Linked DNA regions of Neodiprion lecontei. The protein of the gene in region 1 binds, or shares a complex with, the protein of each later gene. Links are inferred from orthologs where the notes say so. Each region holds a gene or a part of one and is shown on either strand. Other genes may lie near its edges.

Region 1 (15,066 bases):
TGTAGGCTCTCATTGTGTCCGTATCGGTCAACTTGATAGCACTATATATGGCTTCTAGAAGAATATCAATATCGCTGGGTTCGCTCAGGAAGTTACCCCAGATCAAGGGTTGTTCAAAAGGATCGTTCGAAGCCAGACTGATTTGTCCTAAAACACCGGATAATGGGCTAAGTATTATTTGTACTTTGATGTTGAAGAACCATTGTGAGACAACCACGTCCTTATTTCTGATACGGTGTTTACATACCTCTGCTTTTTGGATGCAGTAACACAGCGAACAAGTCGAAAGTGCGTTTCCCCGTGCTGCTAAGAGCACCAATTTCACCAGGCGCACAGGCGGCGTCAAAACCCACGCTATATATTTGCATGTCGGGATAGTCGGGGGTTGTTTTGCTGGAAGCTAGCTGAGCGACTATCCCGGTTATCCCATGACCGGACAACGGGCCAGTCTGAAAGTCGAGGTATTCGGTAGTAGCTGCCCAATTGTTTATGTAGGTGTCAAGTTGATTTATGGTAAAGTTGAGCGTGAAGTACAGGTGGTCTTGGTAATTCCTGCCAACACCAGGCAAATTCTTGACGACTGGGATGCCCATAGACTCGAGGTGTTTCTTGGGCCCAATGCCAGAGAGAAGTAGAATGTGAGGTGATTTGACATTTCCAGCGCTGAGAATCACTTCTCGCGATGTACGAACCGTCTTGAATTCACCATTCTGTAAGAAATTATCATATTTTGCTCTCAATTATCAATGAGTTTGGCTATTGATAATTGTATTAAAATAAGGAACACACAAGCGGGTAGCGCTGAAACTACAATCGAGCCATCATTTTACCACTGCTTTTACCTAACGGTCCAGTAAGACGTATGCGAAGCTCAAAGATTCAATTAAACCAGGCGTACATGTTCGTTTGGCTGGACTAGACCAACGTTGCGCTAATTTTTTTAATTAGTAGCCCTTCCGAAGCTTGTTATTAGTCGCCTCTTACTACAATTACACAGGCCCACAAATTAAAAAAAGTTTGTCGTGTTGTAGTCGAGACCCATCATTTTCCATTTATTTCGAACTGCTAAACACGAATCTAAAGTCGAAAGAAGGTGTCGATGGACCAATTTGGCCGTTGGGGCCAAAAAACTAGTTTTAATATTACTAAAAAAAGAGTACATGGGTAATTTTTTTTGTAAGTAACAGCCGTGTACATCTGTTTGGGGTTATCGGAGTATAATTTGGCTTTTAGCGTTATCAAGGTTTGTAGCTTTTGGAATTATCGGGGTGTTGAACTTTGGAGTTGATCGGACTTTTGGGTGATAGTGACACTTCACCGAGAGAAATTTTTAGTTCCGGTTACCGCTCAGTCCTTAATTATTTTCATTTTTTACTAGAATCGAGAAATATAGTTTTAGGTAGAAAATGAAAATGAGTTTTCTAGCTGTTACCGGAAAGTCTAGTATCCGTTACTATTCTTTCTCATTACGATCACTGTTACTATATTTTCTTGTAACTGTTGCGAAAATTTAATGCTCGTGCGACAGTGAATTGACGTTAAAGCCTTATTTAACTAAAAACGTAGAGTAGACCGAAGAAACTGATTTTGCGTTGTAATTACCAAAAAAGGATCGACAGTAGCGCAAAATGTTTACGTGTACCTCGTTTTTCGTAATTCCAACAATATTTAAACAGTTTTTTTAACGATACCTGGTTGACTGAATTTCTCTAGTCACTATAAAAAATGAAACTTTTCTCAGTGTCGGATGTGACGTATTTGTACTATGTATAGATATAGATGAACGTTGGATGAAAAAAATTAAATGTTCTCATTTTTCGAATTAATTCTTCAACAACTAGGCTCTAGTGACCGAATTAGTTCACCGACGCCCACTTTGAACTCGGATTTGTGTTCAGCAGCCCGTCATACGTAAGAGCTATAGGCTCTCAACCCCAGCATAAAATACCTTTTTTTGCGGGCCTATGTCATCAGTCCTCCGATGCTACTACGTAAGAGCAATGATACAAGCACGCGTGAATGAAGACTCACAATCGGTACTCGAATATCTGTGAGTACGATGTGTAAGGTGTAAGTAAGATGATCGTTACCTTGAAGTACTCGACGCCGACTGCCTTCCCGTCCTCGATTATTACTCTTGTGACAGTCGAGTTCAGGGAAACGTGTAGATTCTCACGGTTCCTGCTGGGCCGTAGATACGATGCGGCGCTGCTACGTCTGACTCCATTCTTACTAGTGGTTTGTGCCATTGCAAAACCACTCAACACGTCTCCGTTGAGATCTTGACTAATGCGGAATCCTGCCTCTTCTGCTGCTTTAAGCATAGCATTGGCAAAAGGAGGTTCATAGGGAAATCTCTCAACGGATAGTGGACCCCCCGTGGAGTGCCAGAATCTTCCAACTCTATCGATTTCACCGTTATCCTCCGCCTTGAGAAAGAAAGGTTTCACTTCATCCCATGTCCAGCCCTCATTACCCATAGCGGCCCAATTGTTGTAATCCGTTGGATTGCCCCTCAAATATACCATCCCGTTGTGCACCGTACATCCACCGAGAACTTTCGCCGCGGCGTACTCACAAGAACCGTTTTCTGAGAGGCAGGCGTACCTTTCGTTCGTGATTGTGTATCCCCAGCTCAAATTGGAACCTTACATGAGGCAGATATTTCATTTATTTTCGTAGCATGTTTATAAATTTAATTCATTAGTCTTTCTCTAATACGTACCAGCTATGATTACGGCCGCACCCGGAATTTGTGCGGATGCAGGTTCGTCATCACCAGCTTCGAGAAGCAATATTTTCCAGTGCGAAATCTCGCTCAGTCTCGCGGCCACCACGGAACCTGCCGCACCACCTGAAACAAGAACCAGCTTTGAACAGCACTCACCACTTTCTTGTTCAGTTCTCAGGATATTTTGGAACTTTACAATGTATCACATGCGATTTACATGATCTGCGCAGTCCAAAAAATCTCTCAACTGTTCTCGGACACCCTAGTCAATGAAGAAATCCTCTTCGCGACTACCGACGGAAATAAGTATCAGTATGAATTATCCACGCACGATTGCGATTGTTGTTTTTCAATGTTGCTAACGTTTTTGACATCCATTGCTTCATACGTACCGCCGGCTACGATGTAGTCATACTCGGGATCTGGTGTCTCGATGGGCGTCACGCGCTCGCATATTCCCGATATTTTTTCGTTCTTTCGTATGGCTGAGTCCAGAAAAGACATCAACGTACCGGATTCACCGCACATGTCTACTAAAGTGGGACCTGGTAGCTGCCTCTCGTTACATGTTTGTGCCAAAGTTAGGTGATGAGTCATCGTTACAGATAACAATAAGATAAGTTGAAAATTGATATACATCTTGAATATTAGCTGTTATTGACATCAATTATATCTTTCCCTGTCACCCCGTTTTTCTAACTATTATCAATCAACTAAAATCACAGTAAAAGTTGTAATTGAACTTTTTCTGCTAGAACTCGCTTATCTTACGAATATCCCGCAGTATTTTAAATTTCATGGATGAATTCTTCAACCGGACTGACCGTCACCCTGTCATTTTATAAGTGTCATATGACGCACTGTTATTGGTTGTGACCTATGTGACAATACAATATTGGTATTAGTGCTCTGTTTGTGCCATATCGGTGCTTATTCAGGTTTTTGTATATTTTTTCTTTTATAAACATAAATTAATGAAAATACGTCACAATTGACAAGTGGGTTTTCTAAAGTCAAATGCGCCAGCTGTGCCCTCTAACTGTTTGATGTATAATCTCAATATTGTGCACGAACGGCATATTTTCACCTGATTAAATGAACAACTACAGATTGTACAGACGCTTAGATTGATTTTGACCTTTTTGATATGCCTAGTAATTTTACGATCCGCAGTTTTGGTTGCGCACAGTTGGCACTGCCAGCCACCCCCTGATGCCAAGAGTGCGTTCCTAAATTGTCTGACAGCACTAAAAACTTCCTAGGACATAGGCTGAGCTACTAACGAACCTGGTGGCGCAAAAAAAATAAAAGATTGTTGACAGTACTGGGGACTTATATCGGAACACACCGCAAATAGCACGTGGAGAAAAGCTTGAAGACGCGCGGCTGGAAGTGTCAACGGTGCTGATACAAAACCGTGGATTCTAAACACGGAGTAGTAGGAAGGAGACAAGACTCTGCGATAAAACTTGTCCCCAGTTTTGAGGTAACGTAAGAGGAATTGTCTAAATGCGATTTGAGCGCCTTTTACGGAAAAAAGTGAAATTTTCGTTATAAAATGTAAAAAAAAAAAGGCGGCAATCGTAACCTATAAGTCTCCGTTTTATAAACATATTCCGTAAATTCGTAAAATACGCATCTGAAGTGACTAAAAAACAGTAAAAACCGAGTGATTGCTTTTCTAATCTCAACCGACATTAAATCCGAGGAAAAGGTTTGCAAACGGCGAATCGTAAGATCATATGGCGAAGGGGGTGAGTGCGCTATACGAGCTTACACCGCAATAGGCGCTTAAATCGCACCTTGACAATTCTTCTTACGTTGCCCCAAAAATTGGGCCAGCTTTTGTGCCAAGTGCTGCTCGAGTGTTGTCTCCTTCCTACTACTCCGTGGTCGTAAAATTACTAGGGATATCAAAGGGTTTAGAATCAATCTGAATCTCTGTAACTGTGAACAACGAGTTTATGCACTGAACAGAACGAAAATTGGTACAGAAGAAAAAATCACTGTTTATATAGTTTGCAGTTTCTCTCTTATGGAGTTCCTCTGAAAATTCTGTGAACTATTGATAAATTTTACCTATTTGTAATATATTTTTTAACATTCGTTGAGAATGTTTCATGTGAAATCCACTGCCTCCTCTCACCTTTATTTTTTTTATCTGAATACAATTATTTTTCATTTCAATACTACAAATCGACAGAAACATAACATCGATTTGTTGTGTCTAAAATACGAATGATACAGATACTAATTTTTCACTCTTTGAGTACATTTGAGCGTTATTAGAACAATTTACATATTCAGCGATCTTATCACCATCTCAAAATGTTAAGAACATTAATTTTGAGTTTTTTTGTACAGCTGTCAGTTGAGATATCTATACGTTCCGACAACGCATTCTTAAAACTTTGTAGAATAGCTTACATAGAACATCTGCTGAGATTATTAGAAGCTTCTGGGGAGATTCCGGGGCGCTCTAGGGAAGCTCGCGATTCGGGACATAGGCTTTACGGTGGGGAACTTCAGGGAACTTCCCATGCGCTTCTGGCTGAGCTCGCGAACAGTTAACGGAAAGCTTTTGGTGCTGTCTGGGAAGTATTTTCAGAGCGATACTGCACAAAAGTACGATACACGCGGTGTATTCCGTTACTTTTACGCAAGCGAAGCATCAAGATTCTGTCTTTTTTCATATTTGCCGGCCGCGTTGTGAAATCGAAACTCGTATCCAAATTAATGTTTCTCATGATTTTTCAGTCTATTTTTATTTCAGTGGGAAGACTCTAGCCCCAACTTCCTGGCGGGAATTTTGCCCCTTGACCCCTCTCACACCCAATTCTATGCTTCAATATCATTTTTATGTTATTGGGTTTTATGAAATAGCGTTTTTTTTTCTCTCCATAGTTCTATGTAATCTCGTGGGGCATTTTCCACCCACCGCATGAAAAACTAATGTTTACAACTCGGGCGCAGGATTTACGGCCTTATTGTAAACAGCTCTAATTACCTGCCGAAGATTTTCACGAGAAATATATTAGTAGCCTGTCGAGCGGTAGACGTTTTAAAGTACATCCAATTTAACACATTTCAATTATTATATTGTATAACAGAAACAATATACATTGTAAGAATAAATTAAGATTGGATATCCTTGTTACGTCCCCCAGACTTCATATTCCTTTCCCACACTCTTAGTTACCTTACGCTCTGTAGTCTACTCTTATCGTCCGCGAGTCAGCAGATTCTTCTGTAACTCGCGGCTAGCTTGCCTCCTACATCCCGCAAAACAAGGCAGATCCATCCTAGCGCTCAAGCAAGACACCTATCCCTCTAAACCAAGACCATACCTTTTTCCCTCGACCGACTCCGTTGCATTGACTACTAATAAACAATCATATACTTATAATCGTTTACCTTCCCTTAATACCGATCCCTTTCTATTCCATTCGCTTCCTGCATTGGGAGTAGTAGCACGCGAGTGCATAGTCGATGTGAACGGACCCTATAATAGCCAAAGAACACCTTGGCTGGGCGTGGAGTAAGCTCCGATTACCGCTCATCGGAGCCTACGCATTCTACCCCGTAACATCATCCTTGTTTGATTCCGCAAAACTCTGCAGAGATTGATTCAGAAATTTTAACAATTTCTCAGAAGTTGAAAAAATTAGTAGCATACTTATGAAACTCTCTAAAGTGAGAGCAGAGATGAGTAGGGTGAGAGCTTAAACTTTAGCGTGCTTTAAAGTATCTGCATCCGTGCGTCTGCTGGTTTGAAATGTAAATCGAGATATCGATTGCGGAAAGTTTGCGTATCGCAAGTCGAACTATCGAAGTGCAAAAGCCAAACACGTGTCCTACCTAACCTCAAAAAACAACGCGGTTGTCCAAAGCGGCTGTCTTCCAACTTGCCACTGCCTAGTGATGGGTGCCCCGAAAAAGGCAGGTAAGCGAAAGCAGGACCCAATCATTCCGAACAAATCAAATAAAGAAGAAGAAAGGGTAGAGAATGTCGAAGAACTTGAAGACGATGACGACTTGGACGAGAATTCGGTAAGACAGATAATCGAATCATTTAAATATGTATTAAACATCCTAGGTTAGGTTGAGTTGGGTCAGCTTTGAGCTTCAATAAAAAATTGAAGCAGTAATCGTAACGCAAAAATCTATTGTCATCACTGGTTCTCTTTGGCAATTTATTGTACACTACATAACACTCCGTGTATCCAGGATTTAGGATCGGAGGATTTTCTAGCCACCGATCAACTCGACGAGGACGATGACAGCACAGACGACGAAGTCGAAGGAAATAATGATGTTGTCGATTCTGATACTGAGAATGATCCAATTGTTTTTGGCTCTGATAACGATGATGAGGAACTAGAATTTGAATCTGACTCTGAAGAGTACGAGAAGGATGATGATTCTGTGAATGAAGAAGAGGAGGACGAAGAAGATTCGGAAGCAGAGAGTGACGGGTCTGTCAATTCCAAAGACAAATTCAGTTCAGAATCTGGAAACGAGCAGTCAGAGGAAGAAGTTCGGCAGCCTAAAACAAATAACAAATCTTTGGTAAAGTCTAATAAGGAAAGCAATGGAAGTAACAAGCCAGCTAGAAATGTGAATAAAAAAGTGGTAAAACTAAGCGATCATAGTGAGAAAAATTTGGATTATGGTGTAAAACAGAATAAATCAAGTATTGTGAATAGTGGTCGCAATACAAGCGACCCAGCAGTTGAAAAACTGACTAGTAATGTCGACGAATATGAACAAGACAGTTCGGATGAAGAAGATATTCGAAATACCATTGGGAATATCCCCTTGCAATGGTACAACGAGTATCCTCACATCGGGTACGACTGGGACGGTAAAAAAATTTTAAAACCAGAGAAAGGAGATCAGCTGGATAACTTTTTGAAGAGAATGGAGGATCCAGATTTTTGGAGAACTGTGAAAGACCCCATGACGGGACAAGATGTAGTACTCAGCGAAGCTGACATAGAGCTCATAACAAGAATCCAGAAGCAAAAGATACCTGATGCTCAATTTGACGAGTACACAGTAAGTTATTTGTTCCTTACCAGATTCTATTTAATACTTTCAACATATCTCTGAAATTTGTTTTGAAACTTTATTTTCCCATTACTTTTACAGCCTTGGGTCGAGTGGTTCACGTCCGAAGTGATGAAAACGCCATTGCGTAAATTTCCGGAGCACAAACGATCATTCTTGCCTTCAAAGTCGGAAGCAAAGAAAGTTTCCAAGCTAGTTCATGCTCTGAAAATGGGTTGGATAAAGTCAACAGTCGAAATGGAGAAGGAAAAACAGAAGAACAAGGAAAACAAAGATTTTTACATGCTGTGGCAGTCAGACGATCAGGCTGAGGAGATGCGGAGGATTCACAAGCACATACCGGCGCCAAAGAGGCATTTGCCTGGTCACGCAGAGAGCTATAATCCTCCGCCAGAGTATCTCTTTGACAAAAAAGAAATGAAGGAATGGAATAAGCTGAAGTCCACGCCATGGAAAAGGAAGCTTCACTTCATTCCACAGAAGTTTAATTCACTTCGTGAAGTCCCGGCTTATTCAAGATATATCAAAGAGCGGTTTCAGAGATGTTTGGACTTGTATCTTTGTCCAAGGGCTTTGAAAATGAGGCTTACCATTGACCCAGCCAGCTTGGTTCCACAGCTACCTAGTCCTCAAGATTTACAACCATTTCCCACTACTATGTCAATGGTCTTTAAGGGGCACACTGACATGATAAGATCCTTCACTGCCGAAGCTAAAGGCCAGTATATCGCTTCTGGCGGAGATGATATGACGCTTAAAAGTGAGTTGTTTTGTCGAAACTTTTTCATTGTAGGTCGATTGTAATTAAAGATTAAGGAAAAAAATTAAAACTGCGAATTAATGAATGAGTGAACATGTTTTCAGTATGGGAAATTGCAACTGGTAGATGTGTGAAGACCGTTCCTTGTGGAGGCATTATAAGAAGTGTTGCATGGTGTCCAAATCAAGCAATTTCGCTGATAGCCGTTGCTGCAGATCAGAAAGTTTTGTTAATCAACCCTGGAGTAGGGGACCACTTAATCACAAGCAAAACGGACCAGCTTCTAGAAATCATACCTCAAAGCGATGTAATAGGTAATAAATTTGTTAGCATATGTGACTGTAACTGAATCCAGGAAACTACTTTCCAATGTACTAAATTCTTTTTACTTGTATTTCAGTGAATGAGAGGGTAAGGACGGCAGTTCAGTGGGAACAGGCCGAAGGTGAAAATTGGCGAAATGGTATCAGAGTAATATTGAATCACTTTAAAGTTGTGAAGCAGGTGACTTGGCATGCGAGGGGTGACTATCTAGCCACCGTTATGCCCGATGGGCAGAACAGATCTGTTCTAATAAATCAGTTGTCAAAGAGGCGTTCGCAATTGCCATTCAGCAAGTCCAAGGGACTAGTACAATGTGTTTTGTTCCATCCCATTAGACCATTTTTATTTGTCGCGGTAAGTTGCCACATTGATCTTTCTGCTCGTGATTGTTTGAGTCACTTTTCCAATTAAGTAATTTAAACAAATTTTCAGACACAACGGAATGTTAGAATATACGACTTGGTTAAGCAGGAGATGGTCAAGAAACTGCTGTCTAATTCTATGTGGATATCAACAATGGCAATACATCCTGGTAATCAACACAGTTTCATATTTTTCTCCGCAACTTTGTGAAATTCGTCGTTGGTTCTTCTCCTAATAAATTGCTCGTGTGTTCAGGTGGCGACAACATCTTAGTAGGCACATATGATAGAAAGATGCTCTGGTTCGATCTGGATTTGAGCACAAAGCCCTATCAAACTTTGCGATTGCATGGAACAGCCGTGCGTGGTGTAGCCTTTCACAAGCGTTATCCACTATTTGCCTCTGGAGCTGATGACAAAGGTCTGATTGTATCACACGGAATGGTGTACAAGTAAGTAAATCGGTATTATGTTTTTATTAAGCCACAGGAAACAACTTCTTATTCTTTTTTTTTTTTGTTCCTTACAGCGACCTTCTTCAAAACCCACTGATTGTGCCGCTAAAAAGACTGTGCAATCATGAGACTTACAATGATTTTGGTATTCTTGATGTCATGTTTCATCCAATACAACCTTGGCTATTTTCGGCTGGTGCAGATGCAACTATTCGTTTATACACGTAGTTTAATTATGGGTATGACATACAAGTTGTTTCAATTTCTGGCCGTATCGTTATGTTCTAATAAACATATTTTACTACATTTATCTACTGATTGCATTTTTTTAGACCTCGACCGTTTACCCAAATTTCCATGATGTATGTTTGATGCTATGAATTCCTAGAAATTTAAGTGGAACGGAATGAATGGATCGGTAACTGTATTTATTTATTATAACTTGTATCATTGTAAAATGTTATTTATTTCTGAAGCCATTTGTTTGGCGCATCGTTAAAAACGGATTAACGTTTTCTACAAAAGCTTGATATTGCTATATTAAACTGTTATGGATCATCTGAGATTATTTTTAGAAGTGCATTAATCATATATTCATTACGAAAAACATTTTTACCACTTTTTCCGATATTACAACATGTGCATTATTACTAAACTTTAAGATTACCTTATCTACTGATTAAGTAGTTACAAAAGAATAACGTGCAAACACATTAAAGTAAACCTATAGGAACTTTTGGCTCGTAATTAATTGCAGAAATTACTTCATAGTTGCCTGAATAATATAATAGGTAATATACGTATATATCCCAGGGTTTCATATATAAACTAAAATTATAAAGGTAAGAGGTTACACTTAAAAAAAATCTGTAATCGAACCATTCTACATGGTAGAATTTGACTGAAAATTCATACAATATCACCTCGAACTACCGAACGAGTACTTTAACGTAAACTTTGATGAAATACAAAAACGTAATATTAAAATTCAGTCCCCTGTATGTAAGTAATAACATAGAAGGAAAATATTTTTCATATTTTCCTGGTAACACATAATTAAACAACATATAATCTATTGATACAAAATTCAGGTTTCCTAATATATTTGGGACTTGTTCATGCATGCAAAGTAGAATTTGATCTACGACTGCAATTTTAAGCATATTCATTTCTTCATCACACATATCATCGGGTATATCCGGAAATGTCCATATCCGATTCATTGTAGCATACTTCTTTCGAGACCAAAACATATAGCATTAATTCAAACTGATATTTGATTAATTTCTTTTATTATAATGGACAGCTATGAATGTTACGGTATGTTCTGTTACTGTGTATTTTCTTTTTGAAATTCTAGTACAACAAGTACAATAATTTTCAAATTGGACTACATTGCCTGCATAGAGCGATACATTCACTAGTCAACATTAGCAGGGCTTGTTTATACATGGCTAAAACTAAAGAGCAGTATATACGTTACAAACTCTGCATCATAAATATAAAAGCTATTACGTAAGGGGGGAATGCCCTAAGCACTGCCACTCTGGCTCTCCACATTCACACATCCTACCCGCATGACGAATTTGAAAAACTGTAACAATATGTCTGTTATCGTCAAATCTACAGCTGATATGTAATTCGTGAATTAAAAATGTGTAGAACTGATTGGCCCAACGTTGCCTCAAGTAAACTGACCTAGGATCTTGACATAAAACATTTTCTATAGCATGTTTCTGCTGGTCCGCTTTGTCTCCTAGAATTTCGTTCAACTGTACCAAAGCTCGTTCATTAAATGTTACAGTTAACGCCGAAACACGCGATCTCGATATCCAATCTGGTATCCTTACATTAGAAGAATTTTCTTCCTGCCCCAAGTTCATGTGACCTCTACTTTCAATTCTAATGTTCTGACCATTCCCAGCATTCTGAGAAACTGCGGATCCAGCCATTCCTTGTATATTTGACAAAGTTTGCGACGTAAAACCTTCTTCGCCATCAGGCGCTTCTCTAATACCCATTCGAATTGGAGAATTATCAAGCCTCGAATTTGCTGCACGCAGGTCAATTAAATCTAAGTCAGTACTTATTCCGTCGGCACCGTCTAATAGCCTAGTATTTCGCGATATTTGATCAATGGGATTGTTGACCTCAGCATTTCTCGAATTGAAGGACATTGTTCTATTAGCTTGAGGATTCAGGTCGATATGTTGTATATTAAACACTGTATTCTCATTGTGCAATTCCAAAGTTCTGGGGACGATTCCACCATTTCTGGAATTATGTGTGGAATTTTGCATAGAATCTACAGTACTTTGTAAAGAAATTTCTGGACTCAATAATTCTCGTTCGTCAAATGAACCCAGGTCCGTATTTAGCCCGTTAGACATCTCGCTGTTCCCATCCAAGTTGCTGGTACCAAGTGTGACGCTTCTATTATTATCAAATCCTGTGACAATATCTAAATTCCTATCCACTGGTCGGTAACAGTTTCTAGCTTCTAAGTAGTTACCGAATTCCGAATGTCCATCAAACTCTTCCGCCTGTAGTCTGAGTGCGATTTCCTCATCTCTAGAAATATCTGTGCCGTGCGCTGCACCATCAGTACTACCATAATGAGGTTCGTGTAACATAGTTCTAAAGCCATTGCTCGTTTCAGATGCAACAAGATTTTGCCCGCTCAATCGTTCACTTGAATCCAAGTTTAGATTTGTCCTTTCCTCAATATTTCCTCGCGATTCCCTATCAAGAATACCACTTCTCTCCAATTCCCTACTGCTGTACTTTTCAACGTACAACGGGTTGTCGTACTGCGGTATGTAAGGTTTGATGTCCAACACTGGTGTTTGATCCACCATATCTACGCCCTCGAAGAAAATAGTGCAATTCACTATTTTTATGATTTTAACAAGGCTCAGGCCTATCGGACAAGGTCGGTGCGGTGATCTGGTCGAAAATACTCCGGTTCGTATTCCGTTTAGTCTGGGTGGCGCTACTTTAGCACGTACATGAGTTGACTCGTTCCTATGGAAGTGGAAGAGTATCCTAAAGAGAAAAATCACAGAAATTATGAAACACGCATAAGAAAAAAACCGTTAATTTTTTTTAATAAATTGAAAACTGTTAGCACAGTAATGTTTCACCAATCCTTACCACATGTGTGAGAAGTCTTGAAGGCCATCTAAGGCATGTTCAGGATTGGTAAAGACAGAATTAAAAAGTGTTAATTTCCCTGGTGCCTTATCACATATTCCAGGTTGTCGTGGCGTCCCTCGTTTGTTGGGAAACCAGGTTGACACGACTCCAATGGGCTTCAACTTGAGACCTTCATCTACTTCGTTGCTCGTGCTTGGCAAGGGTGTTTTCGAAATGTCTGGTTTTGACATGAACGACTTTTTCTCTGCTGTTCGCGATCCTACGAGGCGTTTGATGCCCTCGACGTCTTTATCATGGACGTAACGGAGATTACGTATCTGTTGCCTGAAATATTACGAAACCAATTCGGATTTTCAGTTCTATCAGAAATTCATTGACTTGTTATTTGCGTAAGTCGCTGTCGGCGAGTTTCTTGGTTATGTTATGTCACACACGTCATGAGCCAAAATGTGCAGCTCTCGGCCGTACGCGTTCGATTGTAAATAGAACGGGAAAGCGCAGCGAGGGAATAATTCCTACCTTAAATTGTTTATCTCTTTTCTCGCCGTATTCAACTGCGCCAGCAAGCATTTTGCATCGAAATCGGAATTTTGACATTTTCCTTCCATGATCGGAGTCTGAGATGGTCGGGAAGACAGCGAACAGCTGTTCTCAGTCTCAAACGATAAGGCTGGATTTTCATGGGTGTTATATGTCGCGACTGCAACTTGACGCGACAGCGCTACGCCGTCGGCTAGAAAAGGCGCTCATGAAAATAGGTACCGACGGAACGGCAAAATGCCGCGCGTCGCAACCCACGTACTTAGGTCAATGGATGCCGATTACATTTTTATTCGAAGAAATGAAAAATCTAGGAAGTGTGGAGAAATGGAGAAAATGAAGAAGCAGGATAAAGTAAACGATGGCGTATTCGGACTGCGTGCGATGGATTGCTCGCACAAATTTACGTCAATATACAGTATAGAGAAATAGATTTCGACATTTTTCAAACTAGTCCTGATTTCAACGAAATATCCAAAGGGGTTGGCCTCACTTTTTTTAAACCACCAAAATCTTTTGTCTCAGAATCGATTCTTGTGACCTTTTCCCGACGAATTGGATCCCCAGGAACTCAGAAAATGCAGCAAATAGAGCGTAGGACCAACAGCAGAGTAATTGCGATGGAAAGAGCACCAGCTGAAAAATATCGAAAATTCAGGTTCTGGTTTTTTGGCTGTAACTTTTGACCCGCTGCTCGCAGCGTATTCCGACTGCGCCCAATCGATTTTTCTTGCAAAATTACGTCGACATAGGGTGCCAAAGAATTGATTCCAGCACTTTTCAAAATCGGGAAAATTTTCGCCAAAAACACAAAGGGGTTAGCCTTCCTTTTTTTTTGGGCAAAAAACTTTTGGTCTCAGATTCGATTTGTATGACGCTTTTATGACTAATTGGACCGGCAGGAACTCAGAAAACGCAGCAAAAAGAGCGTAGGACCAACAGCACAGAAATTACGATGGAAAGAGCACCAGCTGAAAAATGTCGAAAATTCAGGTTCTGGTTTTTTGGCTGTAACTTTTGACCCGCTGCTCGCAGCGTATTCCGACTGCGCCCAATCGATTTTTCTTGCAAAATTACGTCGACATAGGGTGCCAAAGAATTGATTCCAGCACTTTTCAAAATCGGGAAAATTTTCGCCAAAAACACAAAGGGGTTAGCCTTCCTTTTTTTTTGGGCAAAAAACTTTTGGTCTCAGATTGGATTTGTGTGACGCTTTTATGACTAATTGGACCACCAGGAACTCAGAAAACGCAGCAAAAAGAGCGTAGGATCAACAGCACAGAAATTACGATGGAAAGAGCACCAGCTGAAAAATGTCGAAAATTCGGGTTCTGGTTTTTTGGCTGTAACTTTTGACCCGCTGCTCGCAGCGTGTTCCTACTGCGCCCAATCGATTTTTCTTGCAAAATTACGTCGATATAGGGCGCCGAAGAATTGATTCCAGCACTTTTCAAAATCGGGAAAATTTTCGCCAAAAACACAAAGGGGTTAGCCTTCCTTTTTTTTTGGGCAAAAAACTTTTGGTCTCAGATTGGATTTGTGTGACGCTTTTATGACTAATTGGACCACCAGGAACTCAGAAAACGCAGCAAAAAGAGCGTAGGATCAACAGCACAGAAATTACGATGGAAAGAGCACCAGCTGAAAAATGTCGAAAATTCGGGTTCT
Region 2 (16,743 bases), on another chromosome or scaffold:
TCAGTATGTCAAGGTATGACTATGATTAATTATTAGCTCACTTTGAAAAAACTCTTTTCCCTGCAGAATTGTTTACGCAGCGATGGAACTCTACGTCAAATTTTTTATATTTTATACACTTCCCGTAAAAAAAAATTTCTGTGTAACAAAAATAGCATATCTTATGAACGAGACACAGAAAAGTGTAATCAACTTGAACGGTACAGCCCAACTTCGATTGTAGTTAAATGAGATATGTAGTATTTCATGTTGTTTATGATGAAAACTCTATGGAATCCATTGTGGATTCCCAGAATGATTTCAGTGTGTATAATACCCAAGAAAGGTCTGAAAACGAGCAATTAATTAGAAATTTGATTTTTTTGTAAGGTTGAAAAATTTTGGAGCAAACTTTGTATGGTTTCTAAAATTTAAAGATTTGCCTTGGTCTGCTGCAATCACTCCCAATTACTTTCTTAATTTTACACGAATCAAATGATGGAAAAAATTTTTATAATTTTTAGGTCAAAGTTTGGAACATTATTGTAATGATGAATTTTTATAAATACTTGAAATTCAGCAAAATTACGGTTGTGTAAAACCCATTAAATTATAGTACAGCATGATCATTTGCGAATTCAATTCATCAAATTCATGTTTTGAAGCTGCGAAATAGTGATTTTTATTTCAATGTTTCATTACACTAACGTTACAAAATTCAGTCTCATTGTTAAGTAGCAAAACTGAGGAATGGTCCTCCTTTTCACCTTAGATTATACCTTAGTTTTATAAATGTGTACAAAAAATTATGTTTTGCGTAATATCTCTGATGCAAACATGTCATAAATCAAAGGCATGTAAATGGAGTAAAACAAATTTTTCTAACTTTTGGATGTAGATGGGTGCTTATCACACGCTGGATCTGGAGCAGAATAGAAAATTCACACTTTACAAGCCTGAGTGGGATTCCATTTCCTTGGAACGAGTAGACACGGCTTGCGACCCTACTCAGGTAACTTATGACAGAATCAATATAAAATATTGATTTTCATTAAAAGTCTGTTGATTGATATGGTACCCCCATTCTGAATATTATGAATGCATGATATTGTCATGAAATTTGTTTCAACTTGAACAGAACATAAAAATTAAATAAACTAGCTATAAATATGTTATGTTTGGAATTGTCAAAATTAGACGCACAACTGATATAGTTCATAATTAGCAACAAATTATAAAAATAAATTAAGTCATGAAAATTACTTACTTCTGAATCGAAGAGTTCTTATTTTTTTCAAAGCTGCTTTAGTAGAGTTTCAATTCAACCCGTACAAAAACGTTTAAGAATATACATAACTTCAACAGAGGCTAAATCCTTTCTTAATACTTGAAAAAATAAATCTTTTCTCTAAGGATGAGCTCTCAGATAAGCTGTTTGCTTTTTGAAAAATGAGTTACTGAATATTTTCAGAGTGCTGATTTAGCTGCTGTTATAATGCAAGATGGAATAGCTCATGTTTGCCTTATTACCTCTAACATGACTTTGGTTAGAGCTAAAATAGATCAAAATATACCAAGAAAAAGAAAAGGGAACGTATCACAGCATGAAAAGGTTTGTTATCACTCTTTATGGACAGCAGTAGAGTACGTGTGAGTCTATGTATACAATGTATAGGGGCAGTCCATGCCATTTCGACCTGAGTCTGAACCTTGACTTCCAGATTTGAAATGCACTCAGTTTTTTTATAGATTTTTTCGACACGGTTTGAATTTTCTACAATTTTTCAAAACCATGCCTTGATTAACACAATGTAAAAAACTGAAAAATCGTGTGTCAGATAACAAAATGTTGCAGCTCAGAGCAGATTTTTTTTCTCTTTATTTTGCTAATAACAAAATCTCAACTGGTAAAATGGCTCATAAAAACCTGCAAAATTTTTCAAAAATCTGAAAATGTTTCAGTAACCATCCATAATAAAATGACGTCTAATTTTTCCAACATTTTTTTTTCGAAAAAAGCTTGAAAACAGTAGGAAGAAAAAATCTCCCCACTAAGCTTAATTTTTACGCCCTAAACTTAAAAATTTTGATTTCTAACACACACGAATTTTCCGAATTTTTTCAAATTTTTAAATTGTGTCCATCAATAACATGGTTTTGAAAAATTGTAGAAAATTAAAACCGTATCAAAAGATCTAAAAAAAAATATTGAGTGCATTCAAAATCTGAGAGGTCCAGGTTCAGACCTAGGTTGAAATGATATGGACTGCCCCATATACTTGTAGTGGGAAAGGTGGTTGCGATTTTTGCCAAGCTGGTGTCTCTTATAGTTTTGATTACTATGGGTATGGTGATATCGGTAACGTAAAAGCATGGTGAAATGTATATTGAGAGAATAATATGTAAAATAAAACATGCTGACACAGGATATGGCATTTCATAGAGTAACATTACAGAACATTGTTTTCCGAAAGAGCAAAAAACAAGACTGGCAGGGACAACTATTATTTAATGAGAATACTTAAATTCGGTGATTTGCTCACAGCACAATATCCAGTGCTGATCTCTGTTGTAATCAAAGCTATAAAGATGTCCTTGACACTCTGCTTTTCGTGACGCCATCCTCATTGTATGCAAAATTTTGTATAAATAATTTAGAGTACCAAGAGTAACGGTTTATTGAGATCCAAAGTTTTAACTTTCTTTACCAAAAAAATGTCTAGTCCGCTTACAAAAAAATTGGAAAGTTATATGTTTTAAAAGATTTCTGAAAAGTGTGTCATTTTTTCGCTTGATATTACATTTAACAAATTCTCTATTCAAAAATTGATCGACCAAAATAAATTTTTCGTCTAGCGTAAATGAGGTTGACGTTTTCATGAGTTGAAGAATCACTCATTGAAGTAATGAGACATCAACTTTTGTTCAACAGTAGTAGCAATTATCCTTACTTTGCATTAAAATATGATATTTCGCTTAACTTTTTTCATCATTGGAATTCCAGGGTTTGGCTCGCTTTTATGAAAGCGTCATGCAGGCAATCCTACGACATATCAATTTCGATGTAGTCAAGTGTATTCTCTTGGCCAGTCCTGGTTTTGTTAAAAATCAATTCATGGAGTTTATGATTCAAGAAGCAGTGAGAACAGATAATAAAGTGATTCTAGACAATAAGGCCAAGTTCATGCTTGTACATGCTAGTTCTGGCTTCAAGCACTCACTGAGAGGTACCACATGCCAAATCAAATTGTATTCATGTGTATTTAACATTAAAACTGCCAAGATTGGCACACCTCCTTCAACAACTAAAACAATCTTTAGAATTGATCCCCACACAGTGGACTTCCTATTAATAGTATGCCTGGTATTTGAAGATGGAATATTTCACAACCACATTTAAATTGCTCGCAGTACTAAAAAATTTTTGTTTCAAAACACGAAGAAAAAGAAAAGGAATTGTTTATTTATGATGTAAACAGTATATCTGTATTCAATTGATTATACAAAATGTAACTTTCACGTATACATCGACTACAAAAGAAAGAAGTGCGTAAATATGAATCTTATGTGAAATATACAAATGGGAACTATCTTAAGAAGCGTCGAAATTGAATACGTAAAGATGAATGTAATGATTGCTGAAAAACGCTACCGTGGAACATATTATCGATGATTTTTCATTGTCATCTCCAACACAAGTTTGCAAACTTCGTATAGTAAAACGTCCTGTAGATCCTTTTCTGTATAATATTATTTTACATTTTTTTTGTGTCGTAACATGTAACGGCAAGATTGTTTCTATTGCGCAAAAGTGATATTTCAAAAGTAAATCTAGGTGGAACTTTGAGGTTGTTCAAGAAATACTACTCACACTCTGTAATAATGAATTTACCAGAAAAATTACTGAATCTGTTGTTATAATTAAAATAGTTGGAAGTATAAAAAAAAATAAATACAATGAGCTAGTTTCCATAAATGTCCAGTGTTCTTGCAAAATATTTCGGACAGTTTGATATTGAAGACAAAGTCCGAAATAATTCACAGTTCAGTCAAAAAGTGTTAGGAATGAGATGTGTGACAAAAAGAGGAAGTTTGGGACCTGAAAATATTAAGCATGATTGCCTTGGCAGTTTCAGTGTTAAATCATTATATCTTAATTGATTATTTTTCACTTTTCATCTAAACAAACTTTTCAGGCGGCACCCCAATGGAAATTGGCAAATTATTTTTTCGTGCAATACCCTAGTGTTTATATTAATGTTAAACTGTTGACAGAGGTGCTGGCAGACCCAGCAGTCGTAAGTCGAGTAGCTGACACAAAAGCGGCTGGTGAAGTGAGAGCATTACAGGCTTTTTATACGCTGTTACAAACAGAACCAGCCAGAGCATTTTATGGGAAGAGACATGTGGAAAAAGCTAACGAGGCTCAGGCTATTGAGACTTTATTAATTTCGGACAAATTGTTCAGGTAATTGCTGAAGCAGAATGAACTTTCGTTTCAAGAATAATAATTTCATCTTCTCCACAGATGTCAAGATATTGTGACGCGGAAACAATATGTCAACCTCGTGGACAGTGTCAGGGAGTTCGGTGGTGATGTCAAAATTTTTTCCAGCATGCATGTATCTGGTGAACGTGAGTATGATCCGTAAATACAATGTGTAATGTAACGCCCAAATCAAATTACAGTACTACCTTGACATAAGAGTCCTTGTCATAAGAGAATTTCCCCGTCGTTACACTTGAGCAAGTCTTATAGCTTCCCCCACTCTCCCTGTATACCTGACGTCTAATAACGCGGTGTGCTCCTTATAAGCGAACGAGCGATTGCGTTGAATCATATGTGTTTAGACATCAAATTTGTAAATATAACTGTGATTCACTTAGAACGAGAAGTGGTGATGATCATCGACACGCTGACACATAAGTGATTCCCGAGGTCTCCTGGCAGTAATGGGGGAAAGTACCAACGCCGAATTTCGTGGAATCCCATTCCCTTAACCGCCCTAACACTCTTATAACAAGGCAGTACTGTATTTATTTCGTTAAGTTAGTATTATATTTGTTTATTAACCTATGGATACGAGAGCCACCATTTTATTTCATCAAAGACTTACATTTACATTTTATCATCACTCGTATCAGTAGTTTTATTTTTATTACACTAAGCCATTGACTATCGTTTAAGTTTTTTTCTCCCTTTTTTTAGTGAATATTTCACATTATGTTGAACTCATTCCAGAATTAGATCAACTGACAGGAGTGGCTGCTTTGTTGCGGTTTCCAATAACCGAATTAGAAGATGAAAGTGAAGACAGCGAATCAGAAAACGAAGACGAGAAATAATTATATTTAAAAGTATGATTGACAAAACATATTCACATAGGTTATTAATTAAGAAATTGTAAACAATAAAAATTATTTAATAATTTTCGTTCGTGAAGTACGCGAAATGACTAAATCAACGTTGTAGCGAATAAAAGATTTAATACATATTCATTTAATTGATAAATAATTTATATAATATCGGTAACCACAATGGGAAATGTACATATCTGAAGACTTGATTGATCAAGCTCGATTAAAAGCTCAAATAGTCAATAATACCAAGGTCTTGTAAAAACGATTACAGGTCAGCGCACCCCTTGACTTTAGCTAATTTACTGAAATTAATTCACCTCTCAAGCATGGATATCGGAAATTATGTCCATGCTCTTACGATCTTATTATCAGAACTCAGTATAAGTGAGAACTTGTGTTTTCTATCATGCTCAGTCGATTAAAACTTTGGGTATTCATAATGAACATAATGATGGACCTGATCTGTTCAGATTCGGTAATTTTTTTTTTATTTAAAAAAAAATTACATATTTCAAGAGGATGTGGTGCAAATTGTAAGACGTGACAATAAAATTTGATAAAAATAATCCTGACAAATTAACGGGTGTAAAAACTGAACAAAATTGAGGGATGATTGAGATTGAAGAATCAGGAAAACAATCGTAAAGTGAATCAAAAATCGTGAGGTAAAATCATTGGTCGAGTTGACAATGGAAAGCTCTGTATGTATATGAATTTAAAAAAAAGTAATACAAATAGTACAGCACCTACAGCACTGATTTTCTGTCTAGAGGCTGGTAAAATGGCCTGACAGCAGGTAGGAGTTATTTAGGGATTTTTAGGGGGAACCAGAGAACGCCTAGGAGGAAGTCACATGGGCCATTTGCATGGAAAGTGTTTAGTTCCCATGTGTATGTACTTCCCACAAACGATTTTGAATGGAGGTAAGACACAAGCTTCAAGATATGAAATTTGTCCACAGAGTAACTTTACTACCCTCATGGCGTGTTCCTTGTCTATCGAATTGGTCGATTACTCTGACAGGCTTCATATCAGAAAGAGGAATTAGATTACTTTTTGTCACGTAATATCAACCAAGATTGTTTGGAGAAATTCTTTGCTTTAGTCGCAGTCATGGTTGCCACAACGTGAATCCAACTTGTTGACAATTTGTTGGCACATACAAGTCCCTCCTTGTCAGTAATTTCAATTCGCATCGTTCATTGAGTGCGAACTGTGTAGACGACAAGGGAAGTATACTGCTCAATTTAGTCCACATATTGGAGGATCATAGCGATAACAACCATGACGAACCGGTAGATTGCTTAGATGATGCGCTCCACCTGCCCGATGAAAGTAATATCCAACGATAGGTCCCACAGTCCATAGTGACAAAGACTGTGTGTGATTATATAGCAGGATATGTAGCACGCAGGCTTTTGAAATTTTTGCAAGTCTGTTCAGAGTGCAAATCGACCATCCTGGCAATGGAACCTTTGCCAGATTTGCATGGAGAATTAGAAAGTAAAGTGTTTGATGAAGAGATATATGTTTTGAAGTACGTTAGCAACAATTGTTTAACTTCCTTCCAAAAATTTTATTAAATCATCCGTAGTCTGCTTCTATCGATTAGTTTTAGAAGAAATTTGTTAAAAAACCTCAAAGCAAAAGTGGATGAAAAAAATGTCTCAGGTGGCTTGGTTGCTCTGCTCATGCCTTGAAAGTAAAGAATAATTTTAAACAATTTTCCATGTCCCTAGACATCAATACATTCTGTACAGCTGTAAGTAAAATTTTAAATCATAAAGATGCAGTACTAATAAATTCTTTAGACAAGCACGGATACATCGCGAAAAACACTTCAAATCAATTTTACAGTAAAGAATACGTGTCAGTTAACAAACATTGTAAAATCTTGATAAATTCACTATCCGACTTCTTTCTCTTTGTATAAATTGTATATAATTTGTATTTCTGCATTATAATTTTATTTGTAATTTTGACTTAATTACCATTACCTGTATTTCGTTGATAACTATTGCGTTACTTGTATTTTAGATTCACTTAAGATTTTTATACTTGCACCACAAACTGACCAGAGTTTTTGCTTTCTGCTTTTAGTCCATCTTTTTAATTCAACTGTACTTTATTTGACAATAAATGAAATATTTTTAAATTCTAAGTAACTGATTAAATTTATTCAAAGCGATGATGAATACAAGTCGTTTACAAGTGGTGTCAGTTCGTCCTGAAAAAAGGATCAAACTGATCATACCACTTGTATTCTCAACCCCTATTTAAACACATTGATTCAGAGATTTGAAAACTCTGCCATTCGAAGTTTATCGTTAGTACATTGAAGCAGCGCGCAGTGTGACGCACGAATTCGGCAACAGTTTCGATACACGGGAGTCAAGCACGGGAGTAGCGAGAGATAACAAGTTGCTCGTATTGGCACGTGTGAAGTGTGTCAATACAAGAATTGGATCTTTTTTATGAGGAAATATTAACCATTGAAAACAACAGATCGTTGAGAGAATGGTCGTAATAGGAAAGAAAAAGGTAGATATATAAATCACACAAATTTAATCTCGAAAACGTACATCTTACCTCCTTTTCTAACGCTTAACATTTTTGAGGTTATTTCTCCATGCTTGTCTGATGCTTTTCACAGTACCAATCCGGTGAGGGTGCTCAGTTTTTATCACGGAGATCAGCTCTAAAGAAACTTCAGCTTTCATTGAAAGACTTTCGGAAACTATGCATATTGAAAGGAATTTATCCCCGGGAACCTCGTAACAGGAAGCGAGCCCAACATGGAGATACAAGTATTAAAACCTTATACCACAAAAAAGACATACAATTCCTCATGCACGAGCCTATAATATGGAAATTTCGAGAATTTAAGGTAAGTGAAATTATCACCCTATATACCGGGTCGCTGCATTACATGGCAAGTGTTTGAGTACTTTTTTATTTGTTTCATAATCTTGATTAATTCTTCTTACAGATATTCAACCGAAAAGTTGGCCGAGCTAAAGCAATGAAGGAATTCGGTGCTTTGAGACGGTATTTAAATAATCATCCGCAGCTGAAGCTAGATCACATTGTAAAAGAACGTTACCCAACATTCATAGATGCATTGAGAGATCTTGATGATTGTCTCACGCTATGTTTCTTGTTCAGCACATTTCCTTCTATAGCTCACGTGCCACGTGAGCACTCACTTTTATGCAGGAGATTAACCGTCGAGTTTTTGCATGCTGTTATAGCAGCTAAAGCACTTCGAAAGGTTTTCGTTTCGATCAAAGGCTTTTACTACCAAGCTGAAATCAAGGGGCAAACAATCACATGGATAGTGCCACACCACTTTTCTTTTGAACCACAGTCCAAAAATGAAGTCGACTTCAAAGTGATGTCAACGTTCGTTGAGTTTTACGTTGTTATGTTGGGTTTCGTCAACTTCAAGCTATATCATGATTTGAACATGTTTTATCCACCAAAATTCAACAGTCCAGGTAAGAATTGATAATGTAAACTAATATTTAAATAACACAAAGAAACGCATTATTTTTTATGACTGTCCTGTAACTAACAAGGAGAGGTCACTCATTAAGGAAAGTTTATTCCAATTAAACTTACCGTAACAGTGAATCAAAATTTAAGACATTAAAGTTAGTAACGTTAAAGTAATCGAATATGGGAAAATATTTTATTATTTTGCAGCCTTAGACTTGCTTTGAAGGTATTTAAGTCTACAAAACATGAGTATGTTTTGCTTCCATATGATTTAGTGAATCTCAGATACTCCTAAAATTGTGAAATACTGATTTATCATGGAAATGCATCGCCACATTAATGTTTCGAAGATCAAGCTTATTAAAATGCTGGTTCCTGCGTGACAATTCTCATACTTCTATTGTACCCATGGCGTGTTTTGAACAGTTAAACTTGTAGCACCTTTGGCCCTGTATAAAAACTATAAAACTTTCCATTGCTGCAGTTACCTTCAAACCTTTGAAATTGTTGTAGAAAAGGTACAAGTAGATCAAAATGAAACATGAATTGTGCTATGTCCACGTGTAAAGCTTAAAATCCAAATGATGAACACCAGTATAGCTTAACATTTATTGTCGTAGCACTTTCAGAATAAGAAACCATATAAATGGAATGGGAGTAAGATTCTGGGAATCGATAAAACGAGGTAAAAGCAGTGAAAGTGGCATATTTGGTAATACAGTAAAACCTCGTTTATACGTTTGCGAAGGGATATGACAATTATGATGCTTCTATGTTTGTATTAACGCACGGACAAAAATTTACTGTAGAAAGTTTAGTAGAAATGTGATAGTTTGACTTATATTAACGTATCCGTACACCGAAAGTTGTGCAAGAGTTACAATAGAAAATTGGGAAAATTTCAACAAGTATTATAACCGAAACACCAATTTTATTACACTCACTAATATGATTGCGATAGGTTTTGCTTTTATTGCTGTTTATCCTCAAACTATCGTATTTCGATTGTAGCATCTATGTGATAAAATTTATTCCATGTTTTTTTATCGATTAGAAATTCCTACAATAGGCGCATAGAATATTAAAACGCAAGTTTGTAATGAGAGATTAGTTGTAATTAATGTTCGGGTGAAGGGAAAAGAGTGCTCTATACCGGAATAAATGATACATAGGTGTGAAAAATATCAAAATGAATTACTTATGAGTGAAATTTTACATGTGGTCTGCAAGCAAAAACTACCGGGACTGAAGGAATTTAATGCACAAGTGAAATGACATACAAGTGAGAAACGTATAAACGAGGTTTCAAAGAAATGCAGGATAGTAGAATTCATAACCCTGGTGAATAAACTATTATTATATAAACAAGGTTCGTCGTTCGGTGTCTTAGTATTTTTATGTGTCCCTTAAAAGTCATGAACAATTGCTTTTATCCAACTGTTCGGTTTCATCATCTTGAGGATACTATCCATGTTAAAAAAATTATCAATAAGCATTGCAGCCAATTTGCCTGAGGGTGCTTTTATAATGTTCTCGATCTTAAAAAGTAATGGAGAATTAATTTGAGATCTTTTGTTTGAAGTACATGATAGAAAATTGTAGTTTTGCTTAGCATCATGCGCTCTTGAGCACTTCGTTTGTTATGGTGACCCATAATTCTGGCATAAGTATTTGAATTCAACGATTAATTACTGATTTTTTCAAAGGAAGTACCGATACGAAATTAGTGGATGAAGAAGTATATGTGTCTGAAAGAATTGCTGCACTGAACTCGCCATTGTCCAGTGTTAACAATGCGACTCCAGCACCAGAAGAAGAGCTGGATACGGATCAATTTCCGACAGTTCGTTTCTTTATTATACATCTGTGAAGTAAATGAATACGTACTTACACACGGACTGCAGTTATTAAATCATCTCTGATTCAAAACTTGTTTTAGGAAGCTGACCCTTCTCAACTTGAATTATCAAGAATTGAAGTAGAAAAAGTAAAGAAACTAAAAACCCTATTCAAAGGTTTAAAATTCTTTGTGAACAGAGAAGTCCCCAGAGAACCCCTTGTATTTGTATTGAGGTGTTTTGGAGGAGAAGTATCCTGGGATAAAATGCTATTCGTAGGTTCCACCTTTGATGAAAGTAATGAAAGTATTACGCATCAAATTGTGGACAGGCCAAGCATGACAAAGCAATATATCTCCAGGTAAAATTAAATAAAGTTCGTCAGAAAGATAACACGCTTATGAAAAAATAAAGTCAATAAAAGTTGTATACATACAATTTACATCTCTTATTTGATTGAGTTATTTGCCATGCATTTTGTCTAGTAAATTGTAACACTCTTGATAATGATACTGAGAAAATCAATGTTTTACAAATCCACGTTGCAATTGTCAGAGCTTTCAAAAAAAAAATATCCATACATACCATCATAAATTTTTCAATTGTTGATTATATGCTTGGGAAGATAGTTTAGAAATGTAGAAAGGTTTACATATGAATTTCAAGGTATTGATAAGTTCTTTAAAAAATTAGTGAATAGGTTTGTGAATTTGAAAACTAATTTTTTTGTACTAACTGGTGTGCATCTTGACTGCTACTTACACTGTCGCACTCCGTATGAGGTGTTAATCCGGCATTGAAAGTTTCGATATGCAGTGCAAATTACAGCTTAATAGGCGAAATTTACAGTAGAAATATATACAAAATAAAACATTCTATATACCAATGACAAAAAATTTTTAGGTACTACATTCAACCGCAATGGGTGTTTGATTCTGTAAATGCTAGACAACTTTTACCCGTCGAGAATTATTTGATGGGTAGTGTGCTTCCTCCGCATCTTTCACCATTTACAGACATGCTGCGAGATCAAACATATATCCCGCCCGAACAACGCGCTTTACTCGACCCAGAATTTAAAGTGAAAACAGGTAAATAAAATGAAAAATCAGAATTCTCTCAAGGCTCAGCGCATATCACAGTCATATATGGTACTTACTTGTAAACTTTTATCGAAGCTAAAGATGACAGCGAAGAATCGGAAGCAGAAGAGGAAGGAGATGATCAACCAGAGATAGAACAAGCGGAAACGATTCTTGAAGGTGAAAGTGCAGAGGCCACAGAGAATGATATCTCAGAGGAGGAACCTGAAATCACAGTAACAAAAACGAATGACAGCGAATCAGAGCAAGAGAGATTGAAAAAGGTAATGTGCAAAGGAGCGTATTAAAACTATTCCCGCGAATTTCTTTTCGCATTAAAATTGCAGTGATGTTTGAATGTATATCTCAGATGATGGTACTAGAAAATTTTCTGGGAAATTTCCTACAATGATAGGAAGGTAATTCTAGTGCAATACGAATATTGATTCTTTCGCAGAAAAAGGGAATGGTGGTGCAACAGGGTCAATTGACCAGGGAAAATCCATGGGAGAAGAATCGTATTGAGAAACAGGAATACCGTCTCAGGGAGAAAATGATAAAAAAGAAACATAGGAATTTGTACAAGAGTATGATGCAAGGAAAAGAGGACAGAGCAAAAGAGATTTGGCTACTTAGGAAAAAACGACGCATCCACGATTCTACAGAAAAAGAGAAACGTAAACAGATGCGAAAAGAGGGGAAAATTAAAAATACGGCATGAATTCGATCGGAAATATCCATACGTCTTATTGTGAAGAGAAAACGGCAATAACTACAATTATCCAAATTAGCTATTATAGTGTTACCGGAATTTAATTACATGTTCACACTTAAACTCGAACTGTATGCAGTTGTTTCATGTGTTTACATATACGTATGTGTATCGTGTGTTTAGTACATAACGATACGATATATGTATGTAATGCTTCATGATAGCTAAAATAAAGATTTTTATGAATTGCACTGTAATGATGAGAAGATTAGATCTGTCACGTGAAGCGAATCAGCCATCCCTCAAATACTTTTATGATGTTGATTCTACTTGAGGAGTTGGACTTTGCTGCGAAAGAATTGGTAAAATAATATGGATGTAATTCTATCGTAATAATAAAAGGTAAATTAATAGAGTTGCAATTTATCAGGCGTTAGAAAATTGGTGCTCGATTTTTTTAAATACGTAAACGAAATAAAAACTTTGTTGCTAATATTGCTTTTGGGCGAATACTATTCTGTTCATTATACAGTAATTTTCATTAATGCTTTGGGATTTCGGCTAACTTATTTTCCGTCCGAAAAAAAATGCAGGCTCGATTCTACACGAATTGTGTGACAATGATTCCCAATCTCTCACTTTGGCTGCATCGCCGGTCATTGTCACATAACCGAGCACGCATTTTGTTTTGGACCGAAAACAAATTAGCCGGCAGCCCAAGGCATTAATGAATATTACTGTACACAGATGATACAATAAATTTGCAAAATACAGACTGAATTCAAAATAGCGAGTTCTTCATTCGTTTGTTTAAGAATTCTTTTATAACACATGGATTTAGACGCTTGAGAAATCTACACGTATTAGTTCGGTATTCAGAGTCTTACCAATTAATTTCAAAGACCCGTTTTGCTCCGCATTAAGAAGGGTCTATATTAATTACAGGATAACCCAAATTTCAGTGGCACCTTCGTTGCTTCTCAAATCAAACTTTCCTTTACAGGTATTGGAAAAATAGCGGGCGGATGGGGGATATTCGACTCGAGTGATTATCACACTAGTATTCGTACGATGCAACATTCGTATTCGCGTGAACGTAGCACTCGCCTTCGGCTCACGCTGCAAACTTCACACTTGTCAGAAATAGCACACTTTTCAATAAGTGTGAAGTTTGCAGCATGAGCCGTCAAGGCAGCCTGAGTAATGAATATATTCAAACAACTTTACAGTTCGCACTTACTTATAATTCTCCAAAAATGCTATGAAATCGCATATTTTATTCCAATGAATTGCGTATTTACGATTCTCATACATTACATAAATTATGTAATTATATAGAAGCCTCAATTTTTTATATTTATTAGGAAGTTGAATATTTTCAGCGTGATTCGGAAAAAAATTCGGCTACATACTCCTGAAATGGAAAATACTGTAAGGGATATTCAGAGAAATTCGGAAACGCTAGCAGTACGATTCAGCAGAATTTTATGAATTGCGAATATCGATAGCATTAGTCAATTCAAATTTCACGGGTTCACCCTTCAAGTCACACTAAGCGCAGAACTGAATCCAATTATAATTGAAAGGTCCGAATTTGGGTCTTTACAATAAGTCGATCTTCACTGGTCTTTTCCTACTCTTACAAATTTAGAATTTTTTCATTTTATCATCTGGAAAATCATGTGATCGTTTCAATTCAATTTGATTCACAATATCCTATTTTATGATAACATTTCACTGGACATAAAAATTCCAGGACCACTATGAGAGTATTCGCTGTGAGAAGTATTAATATGTCACAAGTAAGACTTTAATTAATCTCTTGTAAACGAGTGCAATATTACTAATAACTTTTTTCCGCTCCTTTTTTGCACGCGGTTTGCTTATACCTATATATGCGTTCAAGGATATCTTATTTTAGTTCTCCGAGAACCGTGCTTTGGAGACAAACGATATTCATCGGTTTTCACAATCCTACACATAATATAGCATTTGATTCACATTCCAGGAATGTTGTGTAGGTATAATTGTTTCTTCCTCATAATATTTCAAACGTAATATTGCCCGAACGTTTGAGGAAAATAGTGAATGCGACATTCCTATTTGATTACTATAATTGAGTGGGCGATCAAAATGAGATAAACACACTTTTTCATTTAACCAAACGCTTTGCGTGGTTCAAATTTTTATTAGAAGTAGAGAATCTGGTCTCTATCATATGGCCAAAGTTTCAAATTTTTCCCATTGCTGTATTTGAAATGATTTTCATAATCATATTAGATGTATCATATGAATTTATCCCTTTCTGATCATCCATTTATATTTCATTCGAAATTGAAATGCCAAACAGTAGCGGTATCAAAGAGTCGGGCATACCGAATTTTTGATCATTCAATTAATATTCGTAATCGGCGACCTCGAAATCCCACCGGGTACCAAATTTCGTCCAAACGAAATCACTAATTGCGAATTCTTCCGCTATGTGGATTCGCCATTTTGATCTCCCAAATTTTCAACCAGATTCGAGATCAGCGACCTTAACACCGTGATTTTTAAATTACAAAAAATGTGTCGGAACACCCTGTATTTTCTGATGTATTTAAAACTACAGTGTGAGCGGCTTTCCGCGGAGTCTGTAACGATAATAACGTGCCAAAGCGTTGTACGGTCATACTTTCACGTGGGCCAGGCGCGTGGGACGTCTGACCTTCCAACTCCTTCGGGGGAAATGCTGGAAGCGTAAAAGCAAAAGCAAGATCGGGCAGAGACCCGGGGTCGTACGACTTTGGAGCGTGGGTTTCCGGTGGGAGAACTGGAAATATATCCACATCGAATATCACAAATAAGCGAAGAGCCGTTGCGCCATTTTTGCGCTGCTTCAGGATATTCGAAGTTGTAGTCATTTTTATGAAAGCTGTGGGAAAGAAAAGAGACAATTGTATGAGACATACTAATTGAGCTACATCTTTCAAGATTTTTTGGTAGTGGCAAATATATAAAATCTAATTCTTTGTCTCAATATTTCAAAAGTTTAAGTTGTCCCATTTTTACGACCAACGAATCGCGCAAGTTACAAGACCATTGCGTAGTTGTTTTGACATCCGATTTGATACGAACACTTTCCTTAAAAGTAATAACGACCAAATCATACACGCAATGCGAATAGATAAGACAACTAATGTTTCAAAAATAATTAATTATTCACGTATTTACTCAAAATTGCGTATAATATTATTAAGAGGAAAAATGATAATGAAAATTATTGAATTAAATCTATAGATTATATGCATTTAGATCATTTTCATATACCAATGACATATTAATCACGTGTTTCTTTAATTAAGAAACCTCCTGTCTTGAGAGTGTCTGACCCAGTTAAGAATGAAAAGTGGATGACGATTGCAACTGTATGTCAGAGCATCGATGCTTTATTGATTTTTCATGTGAACTGTTTTTTGCTATTAGATTGAAAGCATCATTGAATGATTCATTCGAATCTCTGGCTTTATGACTCATATTCTTACGTTTGGTTATCCTGGTGAGTGGTGTAATATCTATACCTTATCAGCTATTTCAAATGCTTCTGAATGAAATATAACAGTGGATCTCTGCTTCCCATTTCTTGTACATCCGTTTTGTAAACTGATACAAAAGCATTTCTATTTCAACAATAAATAAATTAATTATTTCGAACGTGAAGATTAAAAATTTATTCGAATCTATATGTTTTCTTAGATTCTTACAATGAGTTTTCAGAATATGTAAGCACACAATATTATTCTGAAAAACCTGTTTCACAATTTTTTATTACGCCTACGGGTAACATCAGACAGAAAGTACTTTCGACGAACTGTAATAAACCGGTACGACTTAGCTGTAGCTACAATTTCAGAATATTTTCTAATATTCTGGTGTTATTTTTGTTATTAAAAATAGTGTTTTTAATTAAAATCAAATAGTACAAACCGTTAGAGTTCAGCAGAAAACGAGATTATAGAACGTCTAAGATATTCAGAAAGTTCCATACACACTGCTGTTTATATCATTCAGGAAAAACTTTTCAAAAAATTTGTGACATCTTATTATATGAGACTTGAAATAATCCTTGGAGTTGATACAGTGAAAACATGGTTCGAAATTTGTTTTTTCTCAATATTTTCACAGTGATAATTTTAAGGGGTTACATATACATGGCTAGGTCAAACTAATCGATTTAAAAAGATGCTCAATTGAAATTACTGTCCTTTGAGTATCTACCCTGGATATTTTACAA

What was found.
Region 2: ribosome biogenesis protein BOP1 homolog (region 1) and pescadillo homolog share a complex: the UniProt entries of both Homo sapiens proteins name them as parts of the peBoW complex. The link is inferred for Neodiprion lecontei from reciprocal best matches to the Homo sapiens genes BOP1 and PES1.

What each region holds. Positions count from the first base shown.
Region 1 is NC_060260.1:39,233,370-39,248,435, reverse strand, and holds ribosome biogenesis protein BOP1 homolog, read left to right. Parts: upstream 1-6,443; 5' UTR 6,444-6,652; coding exon 6,653-6,781; intron 6,782-6,958; coding exon 6,959-7,789; intron 7,790-7,882; coding exon 7,883-8,561; intron 8,562-8,665; coding exon 8,666-8,875; intron 8,876-8,961; coding exon 8,962-9,239; intron 9,240-9,317; coding exon 9,318-9,417; intron 9,418-9,503; coding exon 9,504-9,699; intron 9,700-9,776; coding exon 9,777-9,930; 3' UTR 9,931-10,010; downstream 10,011-15,066. Other genes in the region: glucose dehydrogenase [FAD, quinone], read right to left, coding at 1-147, 248-710, 2,091-2,647, 2,726-2,854, 3,124-3,370; uncharacterized protein LOC107218625, read right to left, coding at 11,214-12,747, 12,856-13,182, 13,378-13,466. UniProt on the Homo sapiens protein: Component of the PeBoW complex, which is required for maturation of 28S and 5.8S ribosomal RNAs and formation of the 60S ribosome.
Region 2 is NC_060262.1:23,168,507-23,185,249, reverse strand, and holds pescadillo homolog, read left to right. Parts: upstream 1-7,720; 5' UTR 7,721-7,857; coding exon 7,858-7,881; intron 7,882-7,993; coding exon 7,994-8,227; intron 8,228-8,329; coding exon 8,330-8,837; intron 8,838-10,544; coding exon 10,545-10,681; intron 10,682-10,777; coding exon 10,778-11,037; intron 11,038-11,579; coding exon 11,580-11,767; intron 11,768-11,835; exon of another isoform or gene 11,836-11,854; coding exon 11,855-12,042; intron 12,043-12,215; coding exon 12,216-12,479; 3' UTR 12,480-13,165; downstream 13,166-16,743. Other genes in the region: protein pelota, read left to right, coding at 1-13, 878-991, 1,451-1,591, 2,984-3,206, 4,255-4,447, 4,508-4,614, 5,222-5,325. UniProt on the Homo sapiens protein: Component of the PeBoW complex, which is required for maturation of 28S and 5.8S ribosomal RNAs and formation of the 60S ribosome.